Rhinolophus ferrumequinum: one gene and its partners. The protein of the gene in region 2 purifies or fractionates together with the protein of the main gene of each other region. This does not show direct contact. Links are inferred from orthologs where the notes say so. Each region holds a gene or a part of one and is shown on either strand. Other genes may lie near its edges. The genes, in order: CCNB1, CDKN1B, CCNB2 and CCND3.

Region 1 (7,030 bases), on a different chromosome or scaffold from region 2:
GAGGTATACATAACATACAATAAAATACGAAGATCTTAAGTGCTCAGTGCAGTGAAGTGGTGATGATACGGAGTAACTGAAACTCAACATAGTGCTAGTGGGAGTGTGAAATGATGCAGCCATTTTGGAGAACTGTTTGGCAATTTCTTTTAAAGTTAAACATATATCCACCCTGTGACCCAGCAGTTCCACTCCCAAAGGTAATGGAAAAGTGTGTCCACAAAAAGACCTGTAGAAGAATGTATGTATTCATGATAGCCAAAAACCAGAAATAACCCAAATATCCATCAGGAGAATCGATAAATTGTGGTGTATTCATAATGGAATTTCACTAAACTACTCAGCAGTTTAAAAAAATTAGTTACAAACAATACAGGTGAATCTCAAAAACAAGTTCAGTGAAACATGGCAGATACATGCTGTATGTTTCCATGTATACGAAGTCCAAGAACAGAGAAGACTAATCTATAGTGATAGAGCACAGAAAGTGGTTTGTATTAATTTTCTATTGCTGTCATAACAAATAACCCAAACTTAGTGGTTGAATACAAACTTCTCTTACAGTTCTACAGAAGTCCAGTATGGGTCTCACTGGGCTATAATCAAAGTTGCTGCAGGGCTGCATTTTTTTCTGGAGGCTCTAGGGGAGAATCCATTTCCTTGCTCATTCAAGTTGGTTGAATTCAGTGTTTGTAGGACTTTGTAGGACTGAGGTCTCAGTTTCTTTGCTAGTCTTCTCAGCTTCTAGTGGCCACTTGCATTCCTTGGCTTGTGACTCCCTCTATCTTCAAAGCCAACAGTGGGTCATGTGCTTCCCCTGCTCATCTCTCTCCTGCCCCTTCTTCCACTGTTGCATCTTTCTCTGACCACCTCTTCTGCCTTCCTCTTCTTTTAAGTGGTGACACTGGACCCACTCAGGTAATCCAAGATAATTCCCTATCTCAAGGTCTTCCAAGTCCCTTTTACCATGTAACAGTCATCTTCACAAGTCTGGGCATTAGGGCAATGACATCTTTGGGGGGTTGTTATTCTGCCTACTACATAGTTGCTTGGGAAGACAGAGTTTCTTGAAAAGGAGTGGAGACGTCTTTTTTAATAAGTCTAGTACCCATATGATACCATACATAGTTATCAAAATATTGACTACATTCCCTATGCTGTACTTTGCATCCCCATGACTTTTTATAACTGGCAATTTGTACAGATCATTCCTATCATTGAGCTTTCACAGGCTATTTTCTCTATGTGGAATGCTTTTTTCATTTAAGCCTCAGCTTAAACATCACTTTCTCGACTGTCCCTGACCACCTCCAGAGTAGCTACCAAGTCACACTGTTTGCAACACTTTCCTTTCATTCTCTGCCTACCACTTAGTACTAGCTGATTTTTTTCACTTTATTTAGTTATTTACTTGTTTCATCTCTCTTCTACTGGAATATAAGCTTTTATGAAAGCAGGGATCTTATCCATTTTATTCAGAGTTGTATTCCTAGCACCCAGATCAGTGACTGGTGTGTATTGTTGACACTATTAACTTGGCCAGGAGAGAGAACACTGAGTAGTTCACTGAGGAGAAAAGTCAGAAGGTTGTAAGTGTTATAAAGAAAGGAGGTGATCCATGGTACTTATGCTAATTAAGCATAACTACCATGTTTCCCCAAAAGTAAGACCTAACCGGAAAATAAGCCCTAGCATGATTTTTCAGTATGATATCCCCTGAACATAAGCCCTAATGCATCTTTTGGAGCAAAAATTAATATAAGATCTGGTCTTATTTTTGGGGAAACATGGTAGCATTCTTAATAAAAATTAGTTGTACATAGTTGGCAAGATTTCTCAAGCTTCACACTATTGAACTACTGACATTTTGTGCTGGGTAATTCTTTGTGACTGTGTTTGGGGAGTGCGGGCTGTCTTGTGCATTGTATGATGTCTGGCAGCTTCTATGATCTTCACCCACTAGATGCCACTAGCACCCTCCCAGTTGTAACAATCAAAAATGCCTCCAGACAGTGCCAAATATGCCCCGTAGGATAAAATGTCCTCCAATTGAGAACTACTGGGTTAAAAGAATTTCCATTAGGCAATGGTCAGGAAGGGGTCGTCAATTAAGTCTGGTAAAGGTCTGGCATCCTAGGGTCATTCAAAGTTTGTTTTTTACCAACTCATGGCAATGAAACAAGAGTTTCAACAGTTCCTAACCAAGTGCTGCTGTGAGGGAATATGAAACGTAGGGAGAAATTTGATGGTCTCAAAGTATCTCCACACAGACAACATATTAGTTGCAATTTTTAAAAAAGTAAACGTACAATGAAGAAATCAGGCAACATCTTAACCAAGTGACCAAAATTAATCTCATTTATGACGGACAAACATCACGTGTCTGCAGTTGATCCCCTAAGACCATGATGTTACCTGTGTCAATTTTCGTAGAGTATGAATGAATTTATTGAATGTTTTAAAAAATTATTAAATCAATTATTTTCTTAAACAAGCTTTCCATAACTGTGAATATTAATATTGACAGATTTATGTACTGTACTTGGTTGCAAGGGGAGACCTGTTTGGCCTTTAAATTCAAATGGTAAGTAGCCATAGAAAGTGAACCAATATGTACCTGAAAAATTTTAGTCTGCATTACTGAAATAGATGTTAAAGCAAACTTAATATGTGATAACAGCAGAGTACTAGAAGAAAAAAAGCATGAGATGATTATGTAAAGTGCTTAATATAGTGCCTGGCACATAGCAGCTCCTACATAAATAATTACTAGAAAACTATAAAAACACTTTAGAAGATACTTAAAAATGTGTAAGTTAGATTATAAAGATTTTGACAGTCATATACACCTGTGCAACAACCTCAATTTAAATCACAAGAAAATACCAAGTACAAAAATAAGAAAGTTCTATTTTTAAAAAAGTGGCGGGGGTACTGTATTCTTCAAAAACATCAATATTATAAAAGATAAAGAAAAGCTGTAGGAACTGCTCTAAATTAAAGGAGGCTAAAAAGACACGATAACTAAATATAACATCTGACCCTAGACTGGATCATGTACTAGCAGAGAAAAAAATGCTATAAAAGATATTATTAGGTCAACTGACAAAATGGAATATAAACCAGGTTGAATAAAACAATAAAGTACATTTTGAAGTTATTAACTGTATGTGGTTAGGTAAGAGAATATTCTTTTTCTTAGGAAATACGGCAGAACTGAAGGATAAAAGTTATGATATATATAAACACCCTCAAGTGTTTCAGGAAAAATAATTTTATACATAGTTTATACATATATAAAGTAAATCATGAAGCAAATGGAGTAAAATGTTAAGGATAGTTGAATCCTTATCACATTTTTGTCTGCAAGTTTTCTAAGTTTGAAATTATTCTCAAATAAAAAATTAAAATAAAAACATTGGCTTGGGGAAATAACTTGAAGTAATCTGGTAGATTAAGAAACTGACGATATTCTTATCAATTAGGTTGTAGAAACATCATGAATCAAAAAAAAAGAAATTACCTACATTTAGTCCCCACGTTACTAACTTGTGATCCTGGGAAAATCACCTAAAGCTTCTCTGGGCCTCGGTTCCTCCAGAGTGCTGTTGGAAAAGATCAAATAAAACATTATATATCAAAGCCTTTCAGCTACACACCGCTGCAGACGAAGACAGTGTGTAACAATAAGTAGGACTAGAGCCACAACTGCTTACGCTTCTCCAACTGCGGCTGCTCCACCGTTACTTCTCTCAGGGCACAAGGCCATCCCCCTCGACTACATCCGGCAGCGCACAGTTCGCCACACCTCGCCGGTCCAGGTGGCAGCCGCAAATGCCCGAGAGCGCAGGCGCGAAGCCAAACCAAGTGAGGGCGTGGCCGCAACCTCTCTCTGGCCCCACCCCTCTCGTACGTCTCCGCGGGATCGCCCTAGAAACGCGTTCTTGGGGAAACCGACAGCCGCCAATAGGAAGGAAGCGAGTGCCACGAACAGGCCAATAAGGAGGGAGCGGTGCGGGGTTTAAATCTGAGGCCGAGCCCTGCATCTCCCGGCGTGCTGCGGTGGAACGGTTTTTGATCTGTGTTGATTTCAGATCCCCGGCTCGTCCGGGGCTCCCATTCTCCTCTTCTCCCCACTGAGCTGCTGCCTGGTGAAGAGGAAGCCATGGCGTTCCGGGTCACCAGGGTGAGCTGCTGCGGACAGTGAACAAACGCAGCCTTTCTCGCTGTGTATCCTCTCCCTATCTCGCTGGCCGGAGCCATCCAGCCCCGCGGGACCAGGGCAGAGATTTGGGGAGCATAGGGTTGTCGGTAGGCACCTGGCATGGTGGGGTAGGTGGCCAAGAGATCTGGGTTGGCCTGTTTGGGGGGAAATGGAGGGTCAACAGGAAATCTTTCCTAAAACGTGGAGGGCTCTTTTGTGGGCTCCCACCACCTGCGTAAGGTCCTTTCTGGAGAGAAAGAAGGTGTCTGCAGTTGGAGGCCTTTTTTCTTTTCAAATGTAAATTAAGGGTATTTTAGTGTCGGTCGGGACTAAACGTGCTATCCCACCGTAGGCGAGCGAAGAGGTTCTAGGAGGAAACTGACTTTTCACAGTCTTAGCGTAGACCCTGGAACCGGGTTTCCCCTCGTAACTCATTTACAGCCGACTTCCCTCCCGAGAGCCTCTCTTTTGCCTCATCTTAATTAATCCCCTGTGACTTACTGCAACCTGGCTGGGCTAGCTCTCAAAGAGGTCTTGCTTCTTTCAGAACACGAAAATTAATGCTGAAAATAAGGCGAAGATCAGTATGGCAGGCGCAAAGCGCGTGCCTGTGGCCACTGCTGCAGCCTCCAAGCCCGGGCTGAGGCCAAGAATGGCGCTTGGAGACATCGGTAACAAAGTCAGTGAACAGCCACAGTCCAAATTGCCTTTGAAAAAGGTAACTATCCTGATCCAACTTATCTGTAAAAGTCCACCATCCAACTGTGACCTTGGATGGAGCAACATTCCATTCTCTCCCATTCATCCACAGGAAGCAAAAACTTTAGCTGCTGGAAAAGTTGTTGCTAAAAAACTACCAAAACCTCTGGAAAAGGGACTCGAGCCCATGCCTGTGCTGGAGCCGGCGCAAGAGCCAGAACCTGAGCCCGTTAAAGAAGAAAAACTTTCGCCTGAGCCTATTTTGGTAAACTTATTTTAGAGTCTTGATTGTTTCTTTTCCCTCATTTTACTTGAATGCATGAAATAGCATTTGAATAAATAATAGTAACATAGAGTGTTCTGCTATGTACTTTAAATGCATTAACTCATATAATGTTGTATTTTCTTAGCTGGTATCTTGCTTTTTAGATAATGGCTTAGAAAAGTATTACGTATTTCCTGGAGTCATATCTAATCGGTGGTACATACTGGATTCGAACCCAGACTTGTCTGGCTTCGGAGCCTATGCTTTTAATCTCGTGTATGGTATTGAGTAGTAGTTGCCTTGATCGAAGATTTTGCTGTTTTTGGTACAAGTCATCTCTGACCAGAATTTATTGACTGAAACACAGATTGTTCTCTTGAATCTTTTTACTCACTAATATGACCACTGAATAATTAGTAAGCCTGTAACATTGTAATATGTAAAGGTGTAAAGCAGAAAGAAAATGTAGCACCTCAGAGCAGGTAAGATAATGAACAGCTTCAGAAACCAAGAACTTTCTATTAAATACCAGGTAAATTTTTCTACTGTGAAGGAAAAACAGGCCCTTTAGAAGAGGCTGGTTTGATGAAATTGGAATGAACTGCCTTATGAAGCTGATTTTTAAAACTTAATAAAACCATTTGGGAAAATCTGTAAAAGTCATTCAGCCTGGCTCCTTATATCTAAGGGTAAAAGATTTGAGGCCATTGTTTTAGTACTGACCTTCTGGACATAGCACATGAAACCTGTGCAATGCAAAGTCTTTAAATGACCATACCAAACTACCTGAGGTTTCCTTGCAAGTCCCATAATGATTCTTGTCTTTGCTTTCACACTAGTTAAAAATGTCTTTCCCACTTTCTTCATTTAGCTAATAACCTTTTCATCCTTCAAAACAGCTCAAGTATCAACTCCTGAAACTTTGCCTAACTTCTCCTAACCCTTGTTCCTAGAATCAATCTCCTTACCTCATTTACTTCTCGTCTAAAATCAAAGCCCCTTGAGGATATCAAAAAAATCAGTGCCTAGGACAGAGCTTGACTTGAAAGTGCTCAATAAATGAAAAATGGGGTAACTAGAGCTTGAAGGAAATGGTTAATGAGGTCAGTTAATAATGAGTAGTTAGGACAGAACTTGTGTTCTCCTGAACAGTGAGAATCGGTCCATGTTTTGAAATGAAAACCAAAGACTGACTTGCCATTTGTTTGAATTAACTTCACATGACACTGATCAACAGATTTATTACTTACCAGTTTCCTTTGGAGGAAAGTCCAAAATGTGAATTTATTTGCTTCTCTGTTTTACCTGTTAGTGTTTAGGTTCTGCTGACTTCAAATTGGCTCAGTCAAGTTGGCATTTCAATTTTCATACTAATCACTTTCTAAAGAGAAACTGAATAAATCTGAAAATACTTTTCCTTTCAGGGAATGAATTATGACTATTCAACAAATGGTATCTTGAGTTGGTACCAATGATCTGACTTTTATTCCCAGATTGTATGCTCTTCTTTGCTATTATTTCAGAAGGTCTCTTTATTTTAAGGTTGATACTCCCTCTCCAAGCCCAATGGAAACATCTGGCTGTGCCCCTGCCGAAGAGTATCTGTGTCAGGCTTTCTCTGATGTACTTCTTGCAGTGAATGATGTAGACGCAGAAGATGGAGCCGATCCCAACCTTTGCAGTGAATATGTGAAAGACATCTATACTTATCTGAGACAACTTGAGGTCAGTATTATTAGGTTGGTATAAAAGCAATTGCAGTTTAAAAGGTTAAAAATATTTGCAAAAACCGCAATTACTTTTGCACCAAACTAATAGAATCTGTTTTTTTCTAAACTGCATCTAGCTTTATTAATTTATTA
Region 2 (7,986 bases):
CTGGCAATATTTACTAACAAATGCCTTTCTAAATCAGAATGGGGCCAGGTCAAAATCCAGTAGGTCTGATTCACTCTGGCTCATCTGATGAGCCAGGCCACAAGTTTCAAACCAACAATGGCTGCAGATGGTAAGGTTGCGTCAGAACAATTTTTTATTCAATTTTCCCACTACATATATAGCTATAATACAGAAGTTCTATAATGCCATTTTGTATAAGCTCTGAAAATATCAGATGTATGTAAAGAAGTTGCATATGTGATTTAAAAACACAACAAATTTGAATCCCACCTTAATCCCTGTGTTCTTTCATTTCTTTTTAGATGTTTATAAACGAGGATTTGAAAAGATACTATCAATATGTATTAAGATCTCTTTATATGCTAGGCTATGAGTGTGTTTTGGGGGGAAAAAGAAAAAGAGGTCCCATTCTCTGTCTATAAGATGTTTACAGACTATTAATACACGTACTTTGAAAAAAAAATATGTACTTTGATCTTTATGGATAGCCAATCCACATAAAGTTGGCGGCTGAATTATTCAAATTAGCTATTCGTGTTGATCAGATTTTAGTAGATGGAAAAATCTCCACTTCCCTTGTGCGGGGCAGACCTACCCTGCCAGCCCTGATATCTACTATTCATTTCCCCTACAAATATCCAAATCATCCTGTTATAGTAAGATTAGCATACACATGCTGACGTGTTCCTGGATTGCTTACTTTGGCAGAGTTAATTTAACTTCTGTTTTGCAACTTTAGTGTTATCAGAAATTCTGTAGGAACCTTAGTATTTTTAAACTTTCTATTTTGGCTTTTTTTTAAATACAAAGGTTACTTCTCTGTCCCCAGAACTTATCAGAACACAGGGAAAATGACCTTTTATGAAAATGATAAAGATAAAAGAACACAACATAACTCTCTTTTCACATTTCTAACTATTTGATTAACCAAATATGAGCCATGTGTACCTAACAATGCCCTCAAAATTTAAATGTAATCATTCAGTTGCCATTTTTTCCATGTATGGCCCAAAAATGTGTTACTCCCCTTAAACCTCTGGGAAATGAATTCTCATGAAGTGGGACTGAGACCACAGCCCAGCTCTTGTTCAGATGGGGAAAGACCCTATTGTTCCCAACATGTTTTGGTGGGGCTCACAGGAACTGACCGTCCTATCCACAGGACCCTGATTACAAGTACTTGCCTGGAACACTTGCTCTAGTCCTTTCATGTTTCAGGGGAAAATGATCTCAGGACGTGGAAACTGTTTAGAAATACAGTATCCCCACGGTGACTCCTAGCCTTCCCCACTCCTACTTTCTCGACTTCACAAAATATAAACAAAACAACAACCCACAGCTCTCATCTGCCAGCAACTAAGATGGGTATCTTGGGGTTTGAAAGGCCACGAGTTCCTGCAGCCCAATTCGGGTGTCAGTTATTTGCTCTTAGTAATCAACCCACCGAGCGGTTTACGTTTGACGTCTTCTGAGGCCCGGCTTCTTGGGCGTCTGCTCCACGGAGCCCGCGTTCGGGGAAGCATCTGAAACATTTTCTTCTGTTCTGTTGGCTCTTTTGTTTTGAGGAGAGGCATCTAAGGACAAGAGGGAATTTTCAAAAGAACACACACAAGTAATCTTTATCAAAAAAACAATGGCTAACAAAAGTTGGCCCAGTAGTCAGGGGATGAAAAACCCACCATCTCCACCCACAATCCTGCACCCATCACTCTGAGTGGCCTTTAAGGGCACAAAATGAGGTTGTTTTCACATAACAGTGTTTGCTACGCCCCAAAGCGCTCTCTCTCTCCATAGCGAAGAGGGAGGCCGCTGATAAACATCCCGACGTTGTCCAAACCTACTGCCGTGTACACGGAGGGGAGGGGGAAGGGGGAGGGGACAGCGATGTTTTCGCTTAGTGAAATTATCAGATAATACAATCTCAGGCCTCTGACTTACAAATCATAGACAGGCAAGCAGTCAGATAGCACTCACAACCTAAGATTCCGAAAGCGGACTCCCAAAAAGCTACATCAGAACACGCTGAAAACTGAGAGGTTAAGACCCCCAAGTAGGCAAGGCGGGGCCCCAGACAGACATTTTATGGTTTTGAGAGGGTCATTACCGTCATTTGCAGGTCGCTTCCTTATCCCAGTGCACGGCTCGGCTAAGCCCGTCTGGCCGTCCGATGCATCAGTCTTTTGGTCTACCAAATGTGTGTCCTCTGAGTTTGCCTGAGACCCAATTAAAGACACCGCCTGGCGGTTCCCGCTGACATCCTGACTCTCCTGCGCTGGCACCTTGCAGGCGTCTTTGGGTGGCCGCGGGGGTCTAGAGTAGAACTCGGGCACGCTGCCCTTTTCCACCTCCTGCCATTCGTATCTGCCCGGCAGGGGCTTGTGATTCTGAAAATCAAAATTCCACTTTCGCTGGCTTGCCTCTTCCATGTCTCGGCAGTGCTTCTCCAAGTCCCGGGTTAACTCTTCGTGATTCACCGGGCCGAAGAGGTTTCTGCAGGCGGACGGTTTGGGGTACTCCGCCTGTCTGGCGTCCATCCGCTCCAGGCTAGGGCTCCCGTTAGACACTCGCACGTTTGACATCTTCCTCCTGGGTCTTTACGACCGCCTCTCGCGCCCTCTCGGAAAACAAAACCGAACAAAACAAAACGCCCCGACCCAGCCCGAACCCCTCTTATAAGTCCTGCGACTGCCCTAGGAGCCAACAAAAACAAACCCCAACGAGTAACTGGCGAGCGTCAGGAGCGCGCTGGGTCTGGGGAGGGGGTGAGAGGAAGCCCGGACTAGGCAGCCGAAAGTCTCCGCGGATCAAGTGTACGGGCGAGCGAGAGGGCGGGGAGGGGAGGGGAGAGGCAAGAGGCGGGGGTGGCAAAGCCAGTCCAAGTCCAGGCTGGTGCAAGCCCGCGGTCCCGCGAACCGAGCGGCTCTCCAAACCTTGCCGGCGTCAGAGTCTCGGGGCGGCGAGAGAGTGGGGAGAGGGGAGGGGAAGAAAAACACCCTGAAAAGACGAGCCCCCTTTTCTTAGTTGCCCAATATGGCGGTGGAAGGGAGGCTGACGAAGAAGAAAATGATTGACACCGCAAGTCTATTTAAACAGAGGAGGAGATCCATTGGTCGCGGCGCCGGGAGCCGCCCCGCCGAGGCTGGCGAGCGCGGCCTTAAGGTGGCCCCGGCGCGGTCCCGCCGCCTCCCCGCCTCCCCGAGCGCGCCGACTCCGACAGCGCCGCCCGGAGATTGGCTGGTCGCGTGATTGCTGGAGGTATACTGCTGCCAACAAACCTGCTCTAGCTGGCCTCGGAGAAATTAAAAATAAGACAAACAAGCTAGCCAAACGGCTGGGAAGCTGGGGAGGGGCCTGGGTGGCGGGGCCTTGGGTTCTGGTCCCCGCGCGGCGCTGGCGGGCGCGCGGCGGTCCCGAAGCCTCGACCTCCCTCGCGTTCCTCGCCAGGGAAACGAACGGGCTAGAGCCGATCTCGAAGGTTGCTGGCCCCTCGATGTGTGCCTCGGTGGCGATCTAGTTTTCTCCGCACTGCGGGCAGCTGGGGGACGGAGGCTGACGGTGGGAGCTCTGCCCGCAGATGGTTTCTCACCCGCGGCACAAACTTCTCGCGCTGCGGAGGAGGCGGAGAAGTATTGGCTGAGGGGCTGAGAGCCCCGGGTGAGCGGTGGTTAGCTCACCCTGAACCTTGAGATCTCTGCTATTCTAGGGGATGCACAGGGGCTTAGGGAAGAAGCCAGGGCTAACGCCTTTCTATAAATTAGCCTGGAGTAGGCTCAGCCTTTATAATACTGTATATTCTGAACCCACGCTCTCCCTCAATAAAAATAAGATTTCAAGATCAAAAACTCGACTGGTCTCCCAAGTCCCTAATAAACTTTGATGATGTCTCAGACACATTTAGTTTCCAAAAGCGAAGTTACACCCCTGGCCCAGTTCTTGCTTCTCAAGCAGTGAAGGCAATTGACATGGACTGCGTGTGGGAACTCGTCTCCTCGTTCTATTTTTCAGTTCTTTCCCTGATTATAGCAGTTTCCTCTACCTTCGTCCGGCCGCCAAATGCTACAGCTCCTTCCTCCACCTTTTTTTCCTACCAGATTCACTGCTCCCTCCCACACAGAACAACATTCAGACGCCAAGTGAATGCTTTTAGAGGGCTACAAGTAGTTGAAGGGTGAAAATACTCTGGAAGTCCAGATTATGAGGTGATTTATAAAACCACCACAACCATGTCTTCACGGCAGATACTATTCAGGCATTGTTCTGCTCCCCCTTAGCAACCTGAAATTTACCTATCAATCTGGTCCTGAGCAGGGTAGCAGACGTTAAAACAGCGTGGGCAGGGCTGTCAGACCCCAGACAAATCTCAATGGGTCTTTAACCGCCTCACCGCCACCCCACCCTCCAATACATATGATCTTGCTTTGGGCCAAAGTTAATACATTTTACTGGAAACTAATCTCATTCAGTTCTAATAGTCCACAGAAGCAATGTTGTCTTATGCTTCTACGCTACAGATGAGTTTGAGTTTTAACTTGTTTTCTTAACTACACAGTTTGTCCACTCTGTGTGCCTGCCTCACCTCCTACACTACAGAATGGTAGAGCAGGGAGGGACCTGCGGAACCCTGTAGTTCACCCATCTCTTTACTGCTGAGGAAACTGAGACGGAGAGGAGCGTTCCTATCCAGAGACCACATATCCAGTCGGTAGCAGAGCCAGGATTAGACCACAGGTCTTCTCTCTTAGGCTGGTTCGTTTTGTTTCTTTCTGATGGCCCCAACTGGCTCAAGTTTTTGTCTGGATTCACCTGTGCTGTAATCTGTAGGTCCTCCTCTCTTACAACTGATGCACAATGGCTCTTTCTTGTGTCCTGGGCTGCCTGCAGATGTTTCCTTGATGTGGCCTGTGGTCACTGATATTTAAATGCAGCTGTCACTGGCCTTTGGTGTCACCATCCACTAATTGCAGATTCCAAAAGGACAGGGGTGATACTAAAGAGAGCAGCGAGGGAGACAGTGCCCAAAACTCGTTTCAAAGTCAGGACTTCCTACCTGATGGACAGAAAATATTTCACCTGGGATCAAAGTAGGCCGTCTCCTCTTCTGTATTTTTCTACATTTAATGCCCCTCTTAACATTGGATTGGAGAAGAGGGAGAGAGGGATTCGACACTTAGGGTAGGCCTCAGTACCATAATTTATACCCCACCCCTGAAATTAGATCATTGTTGTCAACATTTTTAACTAGTTGCTGGGCTACACAGGAATTCTACATTATATGTAAGCACATATTCACTTGCATTAATACACAAATTACCACATATATGTGAGTGGAGATATTCTAGAATATGACACCTTGTCACAGTTTCATTTTATGCGTGGAATTAATAGCCTACATAAAAGTGGAAAAGTAATACTTCTACCCCCATACACACTGAATCTTTCTTCAGTTAATATGCAGCAGCACCATTTTGTTGCTTTGTTAATCTTGAAAAGTAAACGAGTCAGTCACGCCACCTTAAGACGTCTGGCTGCCAGCAGAAAGCCTGTGCTGACATCGACCTTGCTATGATCTAAAGTGTTTTGTTTACAGTCAAGGCACGGGAGATCTGCACAGCAAATAAAGAGAAGGCAGGCGTCTGCCGTAGTAGTGGCGAAGCGTGAAAAAAATACTATGGGTCCCTGCGGGAAGAAGGAACGTGGAGATCAGAGCGCCATCCTCCTGCGCGAAGTAGGAGGCTGCAAAAGAGTAGGGCGGGGAGAAACATTTCGGATAAACAGTGACAAGGCGGAGCCTAGGTTAGACGACAGAAAGTTCCATTCGGTACAGCTCTAAAATGGGCTTTGCTCCCCAAGACCCAGAATTTAGTCCTGGGTGATATTTTTGTTGTCATTTTCACTTTAAGTAGGTAGTTTCCTACTGAGAGCTGAGAAGTGTCACATAAGCCACCCAAGATTGCTGTGTCCTTCACAAGCTGAGGAGAGAAGCAAAGACCAAAATAACTTAAAAAGAAAACACCTGTGTGGTACACAGTGTCTAAATAGGGTGGTTGGGCAAACAGTGGGGTGAGCTGGCCTCCCAGCTGCAGTCCTTTCAGGGGATAGCTGAGCAGCCCCCAGCAACTCTGCGACTGTACACATGGACAGTTGCCCCGCCCACCACAACTACACAATTTTAATTCTTCCGCTACGATGTTTATAATGAGGCAGCTTTCACTCAATTTCATTCTTCTCCTAAACCGACATATTTTTAGAAATTGGGAATTTACGTCATCTGTTTCTGATGCTTTTCATTCAATGTAACAAATATTTATTGAACACCTTCTATTAATTTGCTTAATCTTACTTTCTTTCAACAAATATTTATTGAGTGCCTTTGATACGCCAGGCTTTATCCTGGGGATACAGAAGTAAACAAACAGATTTGAACGAGGGTGAAGCTTACATTCCAGTAGAGGGGAAGAGGAGACAGACACACGATAAATGAGGAAAGCATATATTATGTAAGGAGGTGATATGTGATATGGAGAAACAATAAGCAGGGGAGAGGGAAAGAGAATGTTGCAAGGATCCCAATGTGAGAATAGTCTGGGAAGGCCCCATTGAGAAAGTGGCATTGGAGAGAAGCCCTGAGGAACTGAGAAAGCAAGCCAGGCCCGTGTCTGGGGAAAGAGTGTCCCAATAAAGGGAGCGGCAAGTGCAAAGGCTCTGAGGTGGGATCTTGTCTGATGTGCTCAAGAGGCAGCAAGGAGCAAGGGGAGAGAGGTTGTAGGAATATCCAATCATGCAGACCTAGGGAGGGTTTCTGTCACTGACTGAGCGATACGGGAAGCCACTGGGGCATTAGGAGGTTTTAAGCTGTGGAATGATGTGATCTTACTATGTGTAAAGTATTTCCCCAGCGCCTTATTCTCAGGAGCATGGGGAGTGAAAGGATGACTAAGTTACAATCCCTGTCTTTAGGGCGTGTACACCCAAAGACATAAGGAGACCATCATGTGCACAAAAAACTAGAGGTAGAAAGCAATACATGGAAGAATGCAGGACAAAGATGGAGTACATAGGAGGGAGAAAGAGGAAGGCTGTATGGGGGAGGGGACATGTGAGTCACATCTTGAAGAATGAGAAAAATGTCAAGATTATAGGGATCTATTGATAGGCGTGGTCATTGGGGATGGTATCAGACAGGGGCAGGCCATAAATGGCATGCAATTAAAAAATGTTTTATTCATAAGCAATGGGAACTGATGTTGCTTTTGGTGAAAAGAATAACATGATCACTGTGCAAACTTAGCTCCTGAACAAAGAGCAAGCCTGGGCCCTGAGAGACAGTCTCTAGGAACAGAGCTAAATGAAAAGCTGGGTAGACATCCCATCATGGTGTTAATCCAAAAGTAGCTGAAAGCTGGCCAGAGTACTGGTGGTGAGGCAAGCAGGTAGAGAAGTATGGGCGCCAAGCCCAGGATGAGATGGTTTGGAACAGAGAGTAGGAGGCAGTCTGGTGTGATCCCCTAAGCTACAAAGGCTTAGAAGCAGATGCCTTGTATGTGGTGCTCGCAGCCTTGACAGTGAGTAGAGAGGTAACTGTTAAGGTGCCCAAGGTGTCTTGGACAATCAGACCTTTGTGTTTGGAAGTGGCACCTAACAGCAGAGTAAAGGGTGGGTGTGATGAGCCTCTCCAGGGCTAACACAGGGAGGTAATTTTGGAGGCTGATTGCATTTGCTCAAGCAAGAGATTCAACAGCCTTAAGCAATGCTGTGGAGGATGGAAAGGAATAAATGTGGGGTTTCTTAGGTAGTTAGAACAGATAAGGGTGTCAGGGAGAGAGGGAGGAATGGAGGATGACTTTAAGGACCCAAGCTTTGGTATTTTAACTAGAGAGGTAGGATGCAACAGAGACTGCTAGCTGTCCATCAAAATCCATCTCGTCTTCTTCAGAAATATAACTAGCATACAGCTGCCTAGCTACA
Region 3 (7,808 bases), on a different chromosome or scaffold from region 2:
ATACTTCTCAAATATAACCCATGTTTTGTTTTGAAAATTTTCAAATATGCAATAATACACACACACACACATACACACACACAGACACACAGAGGGTGCCAAAAAAATGCATACACGTTTTAAGAAAGGGAAATTGTATTAAAATTGTAATAATATATACTGATAACAAAAGATGAATACAAGTCACGTTTGACTTCTGCAATTACAAGAGGTGCTCAAAGTGGTTGCCATCAGCATCCAGACACTTCTGATTACGGTGAACTACTGCTTGAGCAACGTTGACCAAAGTGTCCACTTGTATACATCTTTTTTGGCAACCCCCGCATACACACACACACACACACACATCTTTGAGCTGGAAAGAGTGAAGTAGTTATTGTATTCTCAGTACCTACAACAGTGCTCGTTTCATAGTAATTCCACGAATGTATGTAATCTATGAATGAGAGCATGCATGAACTTGAACATGATGGAAGGGGAGCAGGCCAATGGGTCTGTTGGCATTCTAACTCCAAGAGAGCTAACCAGTCACAGAAACTACAAGTTATCACCCCACAATGTTGGCATTACCTTGGTCCTACATGAGTATGGGTTTCAGAACCTTGAGCTTCCACAGCTTTCATGGGCAAGTTCATTCTCGTGGTGGATTATTTTAATAAAACCTACCATATTTCACTCTGACATGACTAAATTTACCTGGGTATTAAAGTAATTAATTTTGTTATTCAAGTTCATATTAAATTATGATACCATCACTAAAAAGGTATAGATATTCATTTCTACAGTGTTGTTTCAAAGTAGAGCTCTAGCTCTGAATGTTCTTCAAAAGTTGCATTGTTGATAAAGGCACGTGCAGTCTGGCCAAAAACAGGCTGCTTCATTAAGTTGGTTTTTTAAATTTAGACCTCCGTACCTTTGGAGCCAACATTTTCACCTGGACTGGTTTCACAGAAGCAGTAGGTTTCAGTTGTTTGTTGACATTTGTTGTTTTGGTGGGCTGGACTGGTACTTTGATGTTCTGAGCTTTCTACAAGGAAAAAGAAAAGTGAATAGGGCAAGACATTCAGTATTTTCCCCATTGAGCACACGTACGGTCCTAATGGTTGTCACCTTACCTTAGCTACTTGTGTGGGTCTGATTGTAACTCGATTTCCAATTTCTTCTAAAACTGCCCGCCGGAGTGTCACATGGCTCTTAGCTTTAGAATTAACTCCTGTGTCAATATTCTCCAACTCGCTGGACACCTAAAAAATAAAAAATTAAAGAAAAGTTGAGACAATTTAAAATACTTTCCTACTACCAGATACTCAAATTCAGAATTGCTTTAGGAAAGGTGAATATGCTGAGATCTAATTGAGGAAGGGAAAAAGTACATTTTAGGAAGTCTAGAAATACTATTTGTGTTTGATAACATCACTCTAAATTAGGCAAATCACCATCCCACCTTATCTATAAAAACAAAAAAATCCACTAAGAGTTTTACAGATAAGTGATTTCTCATAGAGCACCCATGTCACTTGTTAAAGATCCCTGTATATTAAAGGTATCTACAGTATTTAAAAACCTTCTTTTACAGAAATTAGTAACAAGTGCAATTAAAACAAATTATTAAAAAAACTATAATACGTCTGTCTGGCTGTTTAAAAACCAGATGTTTAAAACCTAAACTAGATTTGATTCTTATGCCATTCTAGAAAAAAGTGCTCCTATAGACATGATCTTTTAGATATAGCTTTCAAAACTGCAGTTGCCATAGCATAGACTCTCTTATACTAAGGAAACTTAGAAAAAAAAGTTTTCATGGGTAAAATAGTTTTACTCTCAAATCCCAAGAAAGTTGGAATTGTATCAAATAAGTTGTTAGTTGACCCTAACCTGCTTTAGACAGCATGTGCTGAGACAAAACTTACTAGCTAAAGCAATTCATACAAAAAAGTCAATTTTATCATAGATGTGATAAACATGTCACAAGAAAAAACAGCACGTCCCATTCCCCAGAAATTGGGAGTCCTATTCCTAAAGAATCTCCCAACAGAGGGTTTGAATGGACCTACCAGGACAGACCGGACAACGGAAAACTCAAGCCTTCCTGGATAGATGGAATTTGACTATGAAAGAACCATGTAGGACAGATTAGACAAAAATTATTCATCAGTTCTACTTTGATCCACAAAGGGGTAGAAATTAAAAACTGAATGTATTCAACTTATTAGGATTCACAAAAGTCATACTGTTCAATTTTTCCAGCAGTAATTGCCAACTTTTAAAAATGTTTGAAAGTTGAATGCTATGGGTGGAAGCCTGGCAATGTGACTAAGTTTAAATCCATTTGGAAAAGAAAATTGGCAGCTTTTAACTAGCCTTATAGCCAGGAGGATGGAACTCAGGTGTGTCACGACCTTCTCTATTTTTCAGCAAAGGAAAAGTAGATCCACGTACAATTCAGGCCCACAGGAGAAAAAAAAATAACCAAAACACCATTAACACTTTTGTTTTTTGCAAAGATGAAATAAACGAATTTAAGCTTGATCGAACATTGAGACCACTTTACTGACTACAGAATTTCTTCCTGTCCTTCTCCTCCCCATCCCCACCACGGAGCCCTGAGCCTGCAAGGAAAACAGAGGAAGGAAATCCCAAGAACCCTGTAGTTAGATCTCTAACAACAAAGAGCACTCCGGATCGCTTGCTGAGTGCTAGGACCAGTGCTCCGGAGGCTCGTTTAACAGGTACCACCACCTCCGAGGCGCTTTCGTGAACTTTCCCCATTCCCAGGGCAGGCACCAGCCGGGGCAAGGATCCGGAGAGGAACCCAGGCCGGGGAGGGGAGGCTGGCCAGAGAGGACAGGCCGCAGGGCCCGGTCCGCGGGGGAAGCGGGCAGCTGGCAGAATGGGGAAGCGGCGTCGGTTGAGACGAAAGAGCTCTACAGAGAGAAGCAAGAGACGGCCGAGCGGTCTGCGCCGCCCAAGCCCCTGGCTCTTGTCGCCGAGCCCACTCACCGTCGGGCGTCGGAGCAGCGCCATGAGGGACGCGGCAGGCAATAGTGCCAGCCAGGCCCAGGGTTGGACGCGGACCGGGGAGGGTAGGCACAAGCTTCCGCGGCGCCGTTAGTTCCACACTCCGAGCCCGCAGCTCTAGGAATCTTCGTGTAGTCGCCTGGCTCCAGGATTCAAATACCGCGCCGCTCGCGCCCCCATTGGGCGGCCCTACGTACGGCGTGCTCTTCCCATTGGTTAAGCAGGAGGCAGTCCCGCATGCTGATTGACTGAGCTCTACAGACCCATTTGGTTGTCATAACAACTAACCCCCACACACCGCACCCTCCCCCCGCCCCGCCTGCTGCCTTTTTAAAAACATCTCGGCTTCCAAGATAAACAAAAAAGAAATGTTTCATTGGGACAGCAAACGTAGGACACCTCTGAATTTTGACAAGGCTTCACCTACGGATGTTTCTCTACGTTTGTGCCGGGTGGGCAGAAGTTGGTTCTAGGGAACACCCTGGAAATGCCATTTCTGACCTTTATTCCTCTTCCGGAAATTGCGAATTGGAGTTTAGGTTGGGTTGGCCGTGGTCCTTGCACAGGCGCCTCTGGTGGCTCAAGGATGCACTGTAGGTGGTTGACATACAAACGGGTAAGGAGTAAAAAGTGTCACGTTTACGCAAAAGTTAAGATTCCCAAGAGAGGCAAACGAAACAAAATGCGATTTGCATTTTGCGATTTGCTTTTGCAAAATGCGAGTTTGCATTATTTGTGATTCTTGTGAGCTCTCTATAGTATTCCCGGCACATGGTTTGTGTTATGGTCGGTGCTCAATAAATTGTCCACGAATGGATGATCCTATGACATACAGAATACTTTAAAATTAAAAAGAAGGTCTGATCCAGGCTTGGACCGAAGGGTAGGAGGATCAGATCAAGACAGGAAAAAGAGGAAGGAAAAAGTGAGAGGAACAGGAAAAGGGAAAGGAAAAAGCTAAGGAAAGGAAAAGTCCAATGCCCTTAGTAAAGGTAGTGGAATGACTCCTGATAACAGGCTCCGTCTAAGATCTGAGCAAGCTTTCCTGTCACTCCTATTCTACTCTTTAAAATATGGTTTACCTCTTTATTACTGGGGTATCAATGAGCCTTAAATGAAGTTAAGTGAGCTGGATTAAATTCCTTCCCTTGCCTTTGCCCTTGGCCATGCATCTGATATTTCTAAACTTGTTTCCTCTTCTATAAAACAGGAATAATTGCAGCTACTATGCAGCATGGGAAGATGTTAGTGTATCTATCCTCCTATAAGGAAAAGTCTTGGGAGGCCACCAGATGGCTCTTTTGGTTAGAGCACGTGCTCTTAACAAGGTTGCTGGTTAAATTCCCAGTGGGCCAGTGAGCTATGCCCTCCAGAAATAGATTGAAGGACAATGACTTGACTTGGGGCTGATGAGTCCTGGAAAAATACACTGTTCCCCAATATTCCCAATACAAATCTTAAGAAAAGAAAGAAAGAAAGATAGTCTGGGGAAGGAAAAGTAAATGTTTAGTGCACTGGGGTTGTGAGTAAAATTATATTTTTGCTTTATTGTTATAATGTGGTGTTATCAAAAACCACAACTATAAAAGTAACAATCCTCACAGACTCACAGGGCTTTGTAAACAGAAATGCTATGAATGGTAAAGTGCTCTTATTGACTGACTTGACATGGTCAAAATAAATAATTTAATCCACATTAGACATGTATTTTCATTAAAATGGAAGTGATATTTCTTTTGTATCCCTCACTGCAACTAACCTAGAAACTTACAAATAAACTTTTTGATCCAACCTCGTTTAATGCATTGTAGTCCTGTTTTTTACTTCCTGTCCCTTCCTGCCTTAGACAACATTGATCACTCTTCCTGTATACTAGTTTACATAAACTTTCTTGTTGAAACCTCATAACAATCCTTATAAAACAGGTAGTATCCTATTTTTTTGTCATTTTTAAATTGAGGTATAATTGACATATAACATTATATTAGTTTTTGGTGTTTGTATATATTGTGAAATGATCACCACAATAAGTCTAGTTAACATCTGTCATATATTATCTCAATTTGAAGAAACTAAGGCTCAGAGCAATTAAATGTCTTGGCTGCAATAATAGCACTTAAGCATTTTAGAGCGAAGATTTGTACTCGGGTCTGATTCCAAAGCCTGTGGGCTCTTTCCATTATATTTGCCATTGTCCAGTCTATTTACATGTGGCAGAAAGAGTAGGAAAAGTTTGAAACAGTCATTGAAGGAACTCAAATAGAAAATTAACCAAGGATAAATTTCTTGAAGGCCAATGGCTCTTTACAGTATGGTAAAATTCTACACGATCAATTTATTTTCAGGTACTGCTTCAAAAAGGTGTGTATGTGAACTTCAGTGAATATGGGTTGCAGGCAGAAGCACCCCAAGCAAAAACACGGACCACCAGTACTGGACCGGCATGATGGGAGACAAGGTAAGTGGTTGGTTTGGCAGGAGCTATTGGGCTTCAAGGTAGCTCTTGCTTAGTATCTTCCAGCGCCACAGGATGCCTACATATAGTATGTTTAGGTCCTGGAATGCCAAATGGGAACTCTTCTTTTCAGACATCTGAATCTCCCAGTTTGGGGTAGTCTTGCGGTCTTTGCTATGAGGACTCCTTCTGAATCACAAGCTGGTTGCAGTTTATTTGGTGTTGAACCATGGATCAAAGGTAATCGAGAGCCCTGGGGGGCACTGAAGGCAGTTTAATAGAATTTTTGGCGACCGAAGTCCAGATATCTGGAGACTGGGTCTTTTTTTTTTTTTTTTTTAAGATTTTTTTTATTGGGGAAGGGGGATTGGGGAACAGTGTGTACTTCCAGGATTTTTTTTCCAAGTCAAGTTTTTGTCCTTTCAGTCTTAGTTGTGGAGGGCGCAGGTCAGCTCCAGGTCCAGTTGCCGTTGCTAGTTGCAGGGGGCGCAGCCCACCATCCCTTGCCAGAGTCGAACCGGCAATCTTGTGGTTGAGAGGACGCGCTCCAACCAACTGAGCCATCTGGAAGTTCAGCAGCTCAGCTCAAGGTGCCATGTTCAATCTTAGTTGCAGGGGGCGGAGCCCACCATCCCTTGCGGGACTTGAGGAGTTGAACTGGCAACCTTGTGGTTGAGAGCCCACTGGCCCATGTAGGAATCGAACCGGCAGCCTTTGGAGTTAGGAGCATGGAGCTCTAACCGCCTGAGCCACCGGCCCGGCCCTAGAGATTGGGTCTTGACATAGGGGATAAGAGAGTTACTAATTGTGTTTTTAAAATAGTCATGTGTTGCTTAACGATGTTTTGGTCAACGAGAGACTGCATATCCAGCAGTGGTCCCATAATATTACAATGGAGCTGAAAAATTTTTATTGCCTAGTGATGTTAGCCATCATGTCATAGCACAAAAGTTGCAAAAAATCAAGGCTACGGATGAGATGCAAACAACTTGAACCTGGGTGTGGCAGAGGATGACACTGAGGAGCTCCTAGAGGTGGTTCCTGAGGAATTGACAAATGAGGAGTTGTTGGAACTGGAACAGGAACGCACAGGTGAAGAAGAGGCAAGAGAAAAGGAAACTGCAGAACAGAAAAAAACCCCAAGAAAATTCAGTGAAGGATCTAGCAGCTTTTGCAGACCTCAACAAGCTCCTTAAAAAAGTTTGAAAACATGGACTGAAAAGTTTTCATTAATGAAGTGGACGTGTTTCTGAAAAGAATGACAGCTCCTCAGAAGAATCGGAGGCAGGTCCTTTAGGAGGTGTTCCAGAAGGCGGCACTGGTATCATAGGAGCTGACAGCTCCGTGTATGTCACTGCTCCTGAGAACCTTCCAGGGGGAACAAGATGTGGAGATGCAAGACAGTGCTATTGATGCTCCTGTTTAGGCCTAGGCTAACGTGTGTTTGTCTCGGTTTTTAATAAAAAAGTTTTAAAAGTAAAAAAAAATTGTTTTTAAACAGAAAAAAGGTTATAAGCGTATAAAATATTTTTGTACAACTGTATAATGTGTGTTTTAAGCTAAGTGTTACAACTCAAAAAGTTTAAAAAAATTACAAAGTTGAGAAAGTAAAAAAGTTACAGTAAGCTAATGTTAAATTTGTCATTGAAAAATGTTTTCTTAGACATTTAGTGTAGCTTAAGTGTACCGTGTTTATAAAGTCTCCAGTAGTGGACAGTCATGTCCTCGGCCTTCACGCTCACTCCCCACTCACTGACTCACCCAGAGCAGCTTCCAGTCCTGCAGGCTCCATTCATGTAAGTGCCCTTTACAGGTGGACCATTTTTTCTCTCTTGTGCTCTATTTTTACTGTACATTTTCTATGTGTAGATACACAAATACTTACCATTGTTACAATTGTCTACAGCATTCAGTACAGTAACATGCTGTACAGGTTTGTGGCTAAGGAGCAATAGACTGTACCATACAGCCTAGGCGTGTAGCAGGCTGTACCACCTAGGTGTGTGTAAGTGCACTCTATTTGACGTTCGCACAATGACAAAATCAACTAACGATGCATTTCTCAGAACATATTCCTATTAAGCAACCCATGACTGTATGTACACAAATTCTTGCTATACTTTCCTTCAAATGGTGAAATCTAATCAACGCGTCTTGAGTATAGGCTGTATTTTAGTGACTCTTATTTCTAATGAATAGAATGTAGCAGAAGAGAGTGTCAATTTTGAAACTAGGTGAAAAATGGCACTGTGGTTTCCTCCTCGCTCTCTGGGGTCATTTGCTCTGGGGAAGCAGCACAACCCTGTCAGGAAGACATTTGAGCAGCCCTATGGAG
Region 4 (8,022 bases), on a different chromosome or scaffold from region 2:
GCTACTTCCACCATATCCCCGGCCTTTAAGTCCACCTGGGCTAGCCAGAAGACCCAGATTCTCCTCATCTACTTCAGTGCAATGCTGAGGCTGGACACTTCCCTCCTCTGGGCCTCAATCTTCTCTGCTGCACAAGGACTTGGACTGACTGGAGTTCTCTGAGGTCCCTTCCAACTCTGACCTTCTAGGAAGCCATCTGCACACTCCACCCCCAGCTCAGGCAAGAGTGGGGGGAAGAGTGCTTTTTGCCTGTTCTGAAAAAACACCACACACACAAAGACACACACACCATCCCAATCTTTTCACAAAAAGGAAGTCCCCTTCTACCTTCCAGCCCAAACCCCTCCAAAAACATCGTGCTTGCTGGCCCTGGAAACCAGTTCCACCTTCAGACTTGCCAAAAACTACCAGATTCATCACAAAGAGCCGTGGGGCCTCCCGGATTCCCATCTCCGGCCTCCTACTCCCATCTCTGAGAGCTACTTGGCAGGAAGAGGAATCCTGTTCCTCAACAAGCAGCAGTCAGGGGCCCCAGTACCCTGGCTTCCTGGCCAGCCAATCACAGCAGCCTGCATGCTGCCCTCCTCCCCGGGAAATGGGGCCCAGACTCCTCTCAGGGTCAGGAGAAGACTTGGCCGCACAGAGCAAGGTTGAGGAAGGTGCCAGCTCCCCCAGCCTCTCCCCCAGACCCCCCGGGAGACGACCCACATGCCCTAAATAACCTAGATCCCAGCAGCGCCCCCACCTCCTCTCCAGGCTTTGGGAAAAGAACCGGTGACTCTCCTGCCGCCTCGGAAGAGCCCAGCCCAAGTTCCCAGCAAGAGGCCCAGGAAGCCACTTCCCAAACCACAGGAGTGACAGCAGCTCTCCACAGGGTTATGAAAGACCTTGGTCAGAGTGGGCGGGCCAGGGGAGGGGGCATCATTATCACATCGGAAGCAGCTGCGGCTCAGCTCCCAGTCCGTCCCTCAGCTCTGGCCTTTGGCTAAGGGGGAAAGGGAGAGATGATTCCACCAGGCCTGAAGCAGCTGCTCAAGTTGCTCAGAATGAGGATTAGGAAGGAGCTGTGTCTTCTGGGATATAAAAGGAAGGAAAGAAGGTGGGATGAAACTCCTTGGCCCTTCCTTAGAGCAATCAGGGCCGGGCTTTAATCGGCTCTGGGAGGCTTTTCAATCACAAAGTCCACATGGGGATAAAGACTCACCCAAGGCAGCCCCCCTCCCCCACTGAAGCACATTCCACTCCCCCACTCCAGTGGGGGAGTGCAGGCATGTCTTTCTGCTGCCAATAAATAACTCATGGTGGTTGTGTAAACCCAGAGGCAAAGTACTAGTGAGTGCAGACATGCAGTTTGACTTGTTGCTATCTGGGGGAAAGACCAGGAAGCAGTGGCACCCCCTGGAGGTCAGGAGAAGGGGAGTTAATTCATACTGGCAGCTTAAGCCTGGGTTGGGGCTACCCTAACCATCACACGCACTGCCCCATGTTTGCCTAATACATAGCCTCTTCGGTCCACGCGCCCTCCCCATGGGGCAGAAAGCCTCTGAGGTCTTAGCTTTCCTTTGCCGGTAAGTGAGGAGAGGTGGTATGTGTTGGGGGTGGGTTATGCACGCACCCGCAGCTGGCGGGGAGAGACAGCATGGTCGGTGTAGATGCACAATTTTTCGATGGTTAGGGGCGTAGTCTCGCGTAGCTTGGAGGCCAGCAGCATGCAGACCGCACCCAGGAGTTGCAACTGTGCCTTGTGGGTGGGGACACAGGACAGGTAGCGATCCAGGTAGTTCATGGCCAGGGGGAAGACTTCCTCCTCACAGCGCTGCTCCTCACACACCTGGGGAGAGGACGCACAGTCACTTCTGGGGCAGGGGCGTGGGAAACGCAGCAGCACTAAAAGTGAAAGGGGGCGCTGAAGGAAGTGGGACGGGAACAAAAATGCATGAAGGAGTAAATGTGCTTACAGTGACAAGGACTAATGCGGAGGGGGATGCGCCTTCCCCAAGGTGACGGCCCCACTTCCTCTGCGTTGCCTCCTTCCCCTTCCCGGGGGAAGGGGTCCGCCAGAGGCTCCCTTACTTAAGGATTCCACACTGAGACTCCCCTCCCCCATGGAAGGGTGCGGAAGAGTCACCCACGGTAGCCAGAGAGCTGGGACCTAACTATTACCACCACCCACTGCACACACCCAAAAGGAAGGGAGGAGACTCCTGCCGCTGCCTCCCGCACTTTTCATTTCCCAGACCGCCGGAACAGCGCGCGCGCCACCCCCACCGCCTTCCCCGCCAGAACCCCGCGACAGACACAGGAACCCGCTCTGCGGCGGCCGAGTCCAGGGTTTCCCAGGCGCGCGCTCTCCTAAGAAGACAGGGCGGGGGGCGGGGGGGAAGCAAGAGACTCTAGAGAAGCCAGAAGGGAGAAGGTGGCCCCTGTCCCGCTTTCCCGACCCGAAAAGAGGGTTAGTTAGGGTGCCAAACCACTGGCAGGCGGAGTCGGGGTTAGGGAAGGGAAAGGGACACCACGTTGGTAGCCGGCTAGGGTGCCCGAGTGAAAGGCCAGGCCCGGGGCTCTGGGCCACCGAAGCATCTTGCTGATTGTTGTTGAGACCAGGATGTCCCAACAGGGCGGCCCCGGGATGTCCGGAGCCGAGGACGCAGGGACGGCGGGGGAGGGGAGACCCGTCCGGGCGGTACCTCCAGCATCCAGTACGCCAGCATCTTCCGCATGTGCGGCTTGATCTCCTTCTGCACGCACTGGAAGTAGGAGGCGCGGGGCACGTAGCGCTCCTCCAAGCGGAGCAGGCTCTGCAGGACACGCTGGTCCCCCAACAGCCGTGGGTCGGGCCCGGCCCGGGGAGCGTGCCGGGTGCCCTCGCAGCATAGCAGCTCCATACTTGGGCAGCGCACGGGCAGGACTGGAGTGCGGGCTCGCGAGCCAGAGCCGAGGCGGCGGGCCGGAGAGCGCGGGTCTGGTGCTGGCGCTGGCACTGCGCAGTGGAGCCCCGACCCGCCCGCGTCGGCGCGCTTGCAGCTTCCCTGACAGGCGCCCCGCCCCTTCGAGACGATGTAGCAACCGCGGAATGCTCGAACGTCACAACGTTCCAAGGGGCGGGGCCGCCGGCGCCCCAGACGGAAAGGGCTGGCTGGCGCCCCCCTCCTCCCTGGCTGCCGCATTGGTCGGCGGGGCGCCCGCCTGAAGGCTTCCGGGCTCCCGGAGCCCTCCTGACCACCCGGTGGAGGGAACTTTCTTGGAGGTGGTCCCCTCCCGCACCATCGAGCCTTCCCATTTTGTTTCTCTGACATTAGTTGCCCAGGAAAGAACTTTTCTCCAAAGGTTATTCATTCATTCGTCAAACCCTACTTCACCAGCTGCTTGCTCTGGGGAATATAAATACTGATAAAATAACTAGTTCTTAGTGAACACTGTTCTGAGCACTTAATGCGCAATAACTTATTAAATCCAAACAAAAACTCAATGAGTTAGGTATTATACTTATTTTGCAGATAAGGAAACTGAAGCACACTAACAGTCTGTGGCAGAGCTAGTCTGGCTCAAGAATCTGTGCTCTACCCCATTGCTACACATTATCACTGTGATCTCAAAGCCAACACCCTCTGCATCGCCTAAGACCCGGTTAGAAATGCAGACTCTCCGGCCCACGCCTGACCTGCGGGATCAAAATCTACATTTCAACAAGACCCCCTGTGACTCCTGTGCACATTAAAGTATGAGAAGGCCTGATCAAAATCAGCACATTACAGAAACACAACAGGGTGGAGAGGCCATAGATTCCAGGCCTCATCTTGTCATTAAGTCTGCCTTGTGGCCTTGGACAAGCCCTGAAGTCGGCCTTAAGCTTCAGTTTGAGGAAAAAGGGGGCGGAGAAACTGGATCCTCTGTGAAGGAGTTTCTTGCTCAGATTCCATAAAATCTTCCAATTGCCATTTCTCCTACCTCCCAAACTTTGGGTTACTTTGTAGTTTCCCCAAAGCTGGATTCCACGTGACCCCGAGGCCGACCACAGGCCTCCAGTAATGCTCCCAAATGGGAGGAGGCCTTGGGAATTCCTGCCTCTCATCAAGAGGTCCTTCTGAGGGAAAGGACACTAAGCAAGGGAGTTACTGAAGAAATAATATTGTATAGCAGAGGCAAGGTCTATGCTAAACAGTTTGTCAATTAATTGTTCTTTTTATATAACAAATTTTATTGTAGTTGTAATATCATGGAAATATTTATTTGTATTGTAGACAACTAAGAAAACACAGATAAAAAAACAGAAACTGACTCAAATACAGAGAACATTTTGATGGCTGCCAGATGGGAGGGGGTTAAGGGATTAAGAAGTACAAATTGATAGTTATAAAAATAGTCATGGAGATGTAAAGTACAGCATAAGAAATATAGTCAACATGTAATAATTATGTATGGTGTCAGATGAGTACCAGATTTATCTGGGTGATCACTTTATAAATTATATAAATATCTAGTTGGTATATTGTACACCTGAAACTAATATAATGTATGTTAACTGTAATTGAAAAAAATTTTAAATTATTTTAAAAAATAAAAGCCACAAAAAGAAAAATAATAATTACTTGCAATTTCACCATCCAGAGATAATCCTTTAAAATGTCAATATTTATTTTTCTAAAATTGTTCTATGAATAAACACATATTTTAAAATGAGATCATCATAAACTGTTTTTGTAAGCATTTTTCTCACTAAAACAGTATTTACTGTAACACTTTTCCATGTCATTTTTCTACATTATTTTTAATGGCAACATAGGATGCCATTGGGTGAATATATCATATACATATTACCAAATATGTGTTGTTGGAAATTTAAGTTATTTCTAGTTCTTCCCTATTAGAAACAATACTGTGAAATATTTTTGTGGTAATATTTTTGTATGCACTCATGATTATTTCTAGAAGTGAATTATTTCTACAAGTGGAATTTCTCAGTCTGGAGTTATGAAACATACTAAGGCTTCTTTTAGATTTTTAAAATTTATTTTTCAGTTGTAGTTGGCATGCAGTGTTATATTAGTTTCAGGTGTACAACATAGTGATTATAGACATTTATAGTTACAAAGTGATCACCCTGATAAGTCTAGTACCCATCCGGCACCATACATAGTGATTACAATACTATTGACTATATTCCTTATGCTGTATTTTACATCCATGTGACTATTTTTATAACTGACAATTTGTACTTCTTAATCTCTTTTACCTTTTTAACCCATCCCTCCAACCCTGCTCCCATCTGGCCACCATCAATTTGTTCTCTGTATCTGTGAGTTTCATTCTAAGGCTTTTGATGTAGTTATTACTAAATTTTGCTATTGAAAGACTAAACCAATCTAATGAATAAACATTAGATATCTATTTTTAAAAACCCTCTGCCAACTGGGAAGATGAAAAGTAGTTTATTAGTTATAATATACCAGGGATGCCAAAAATATGTATACATATGACTTGCATTAATCTTTTGTTATCAGTATATATTATTACAATTTTAATACAGTTTTTTTCCTTTCTTAAAATGTGTATACATTTTTTTTGGCACCCTCTGTGTGTGTATGTGTGTGTGTATCTTTTTTAATTCAAGAGCTCTTATTGTGCCAGAATTAATGTGTACCATGTACCTCATTTAATCTTAAAGTCCTTTTCTCCTTCCTATGGTCCGAAATATGAATATGAAGTTTCTTTAGTTAAATAATCATACCATTGCACTCTTTCAATAAATAGAAAAACATATTTCAAAATGTTAAAGAACAGATGTGAAGTTATGGGGAGACAAAGATGTTGAAGTTTAAGAGGTTTTTAGGGTGCAGAGGACTAAAAATGTAGCTTTTGAAATGAGTACATAACCAGAAACCAGATCTTTCCTAATGGAAGGTGTTCCTTTATTTTCAGAATTATTGAGTAGGACTGTTCAGGTTAGAAGGTTGTTTATCTTTGATGAGAGGGTAAACCATCATTATATATTTTTATTTTTTCCCCAGTTTTATTGAGGTGTAATTGACATACACATAAACTGAATTAGCTCAGGATGCACAACATAATGACTTAATATATATACATATTGCAAAATAATTACAATAAGTTCAGTTAATATCTATTACATAATTACATTTTTTTGTTGTGATGAGAATTTTTAAGATCTACTCTTTTAGCAACTTTCAAATATGCAATACAGAACCATTAACTATCGTCACCATGTTGTACATTACATTCCCAGACCTTATTTATCTTATAACTTATTTATGTTATAACTTATTTATCTTATAAAGATTGTATCTTTTAACCACCTTCACCTATTTCACCCTCCCCTTACCCCCCACCTCTGACAACCACCAAAATGTTCTGTTTCTCTCAGTAAGGATTTTTAGATTCCACATATAAGTGAGATCATACAGTATCTGTCTTCCTCTGTCTGAATTATTTCATTTAGTATAATGCCCTCAAGTTTCATCCATGTTGTTGCAAATGTAAAAATGTCCTTTTTTATGGCCGAATAATATTCCATTGTATAGATATACCTACTTTTCTTTATGGAGAAAGCAAACTGGAGAGATGAAAAGTAGTTTACTAGTAATGATATTTTGACACATTATTAGACATTTACATTTCTTATGTAAATTAATTACCTATTTCATACTCTTTGCCCATTCTTTTACACAAATGTTTGTTTTTCTTATTGATTTCTAAGTGCTCGATTACATTTTAAGAATATCCTTTTTCATATTTTTTCTTTGTCATATATTTTATACATTTTTTTTTTTTAGTTCACTATTTGCCTTTCTTTTTTGTTTTTAAACTTTTATTTATTTAAGTGTGTTTTTCCAGGACCCATCAGCACCAAGTCACGTAGTTGTTTCAATCTAGTTGTGGAGGGCGCAGCTCACAGTGGCCCATGTGGGGATTGAACCGGCAACCTTGTTGTTAAGAGCACCGTGCTCTAACCATCTGAGCTAACCAACTGCCCCACTATTTGCCTTTCATTTTTGGTTCATGGTAGAATTATTTTTTTAACAAATAGAAAGTTTTTATTTTTATGTAGCATTATTTTCTCTAATGATTTCTTCCTTTGAACCATGCCTTCCCCACTGTAAAATTATACAATTACTAGAAGAAAATGTAAGAAATACTTATATTTTAAAAGCAGATTTCTGGGCTCTGCTTCAGGGCTTTTCTTTCTTCAAGTCTATGAGGAGACCCCCAAAATTATGCATTGTCAAGAATACATACAATAAAGGTTTTCCTTTTTAATGCGTTGCCTTCAGTGTGTGACACACTTCACATTTATTCAGTGTGTCATATTAAGTGGGGCTCTAGCCTTATTTTTCCCCAATTATCATCCACTATATCCCATGGAACTGATTTAACAATCTGTTCTTTATTTCACTCATTTCCCTGCTATAAGCATCCCTTGGCCTGGTTCTTGCATCTTAGATGATGTCTTATTTTGGTCATTTTTCACTGAGAACTGGACCTCAAAAATCCTGCCACTTTTGTCTAAGGAACCTCAGCTGGTCTTTACCCCATATCAGGGATAAAGGTGCTTAATAAAGGCACCAAATGTTCATTTAGTCTCAAATAACCATGGCCCTCCAAGTCTAGAGAAACCTAGTCCTCAACTAGCGGGCTGTAAATTAGATAGCAAGGAAAACTCCAATTAGACAATGCTATGGAAGAAGAAAGAGTAGCAGAATCTTCTTCTCTGCAGACCTCCAAAAACATGCCAGGGCCTCTTCTGCCCTCCCCATCTCCTCAGTTCCCTGCTTCCATCACTGGTAAACCCATCTATCTTCTCTGTTCAGTTTATTTATCCTTCAAGGCCCAGCTCAGGTCTGATCTCCTCCAGGAAGCCTTCCTAGAACAATCCAGCTGCAGGAACAACCCTCCAAACTCCTGCAGATCCCACTGTACATGCCCTTCATGTGTCTTGGCTGGTTCTAGACCTGCTCTCTCCCTACTTTGAGTGTAAATTCCTGCAAAGGGGAAGACAATCCAGAT

What was found.
Region 1: the proteins of CDKN1B (region 2) and CCNB1 purify together in Homo sapiens (affinity purification with mass spectrometry; 5 studies listed by BioGRID and IntAct, with this or other methods). This does not show direct contact. The link is inferred for Rhinolophus ferrumequinum from reciprocal best matches to the Homo sapiens genes CDKN1B and CCNB1.
Region 3: the proteins of CDKN1B (region 2) and CCNB2 purify together in Homo sapiens (affinity purification with mass spectrometry; 3 studies listed by BioGRID and IntAct, with this or other methods). This does not show direct contact. The link is inferred for Rhinolophus ferrumequinum from reciprocal best matches to the Homo sapiens genes CDKN1B and CCNB2.
Region 4: the proteins of CDKN1B (region 2) and CCND3 purify together in Homo sapiens (affinity purification with western blotting; 9 studies listed by BioGRID and IntAct, counting the BioPlex papers as one, with this or other methods). This does not show direct contact. The link is inferred for Rhinolophus ferrumequinum from reciprocal best matches to the Homo sapiens genes CDKN1B and CCND3.

The regions. Positions count from the first base shown.
Region 1 is NC_046290.1:44,716,976-44,724,005, forward strand, and holds the start of CCNB1 (G2/mitotic-specific cyclin-B1), read left to right. Parts: upstream 1-4,021; 5' UTR 4,022-4,165; coding exon 4,166-4,186; intron 4,187-4,751; coding exon 4,752-4,922; intron 4,923-5,015; coding exon 5,016-5,168; intron 5,169-6,710; coding exon 6,711-6,893; intron 6,894-7,030. UniProt on the Homo sapiens protein: Essential for the control of the cell cycle at the G2/M (mitosis) transition.
Region 2 is NC_046293.1:27,455,949-27,463,934, reverse strand, and holds the start of CDKN1B (cyclin-dependent kinase inhibitor 1B), read right to left. Parts: upstream 3,153-7,986; 5' UTR 2,601-3,152; coding exon 2,126-2,600; intron 1,596-2,125; coding exon 1,474-1,595; 3' UTR 1,466-1,473; intron 1-1,465. UniProt on the Homo sapiens protein: Important regulator of cell cycle progression. Inhibits the kinase activity of CDK2 bound to cyclin A, but has little inhibitory activity on CDK2 bound to SPDYA. Involved in G1 arrest. Potent inhibitor of cyclin E- and cyclin A-CDK2 complexes.
Region 3 is NC_046289.1:50,579,215-50,587,022, forward strand, and holds the start of CCNB2 (G2/mitotic-specific cyclin-B2), read right to left. Parts: upstream 3,187-7,808; 5' UTR 3,025-3,186; coding exon 3,001-3,024; intron 1,245-3,000; coding exon 1,116-1,244; intron 1,028-1,115; coding exon 914-1,027; intron 1-913. UniProt on the Homo sapiens protein: Essential for the control of the cell cycle at the G2/M (mitosis) transition.
Region 4 is NC_046286.1:11,637,958-11,645,979, forward strand, and holds the start of CCND3 (G1/S-specific cyclin-D3), read right to left. Parts: upstream 3,041-8,022; 5' UTR 2,886-3,040; coding exon 2,688-2,885; intron 1,832-2,687; coding exon 1,616-1,831; intron 1-1,615. UniProt on the Homo sapiens protein: Regulatory component of the cyclin D3-CDK4 (DC) complex that phosphorylates and inhibits members of the retinoblastoma (RB) protein family including RB1 and regulates the cell-cycle during G(1)/S transition.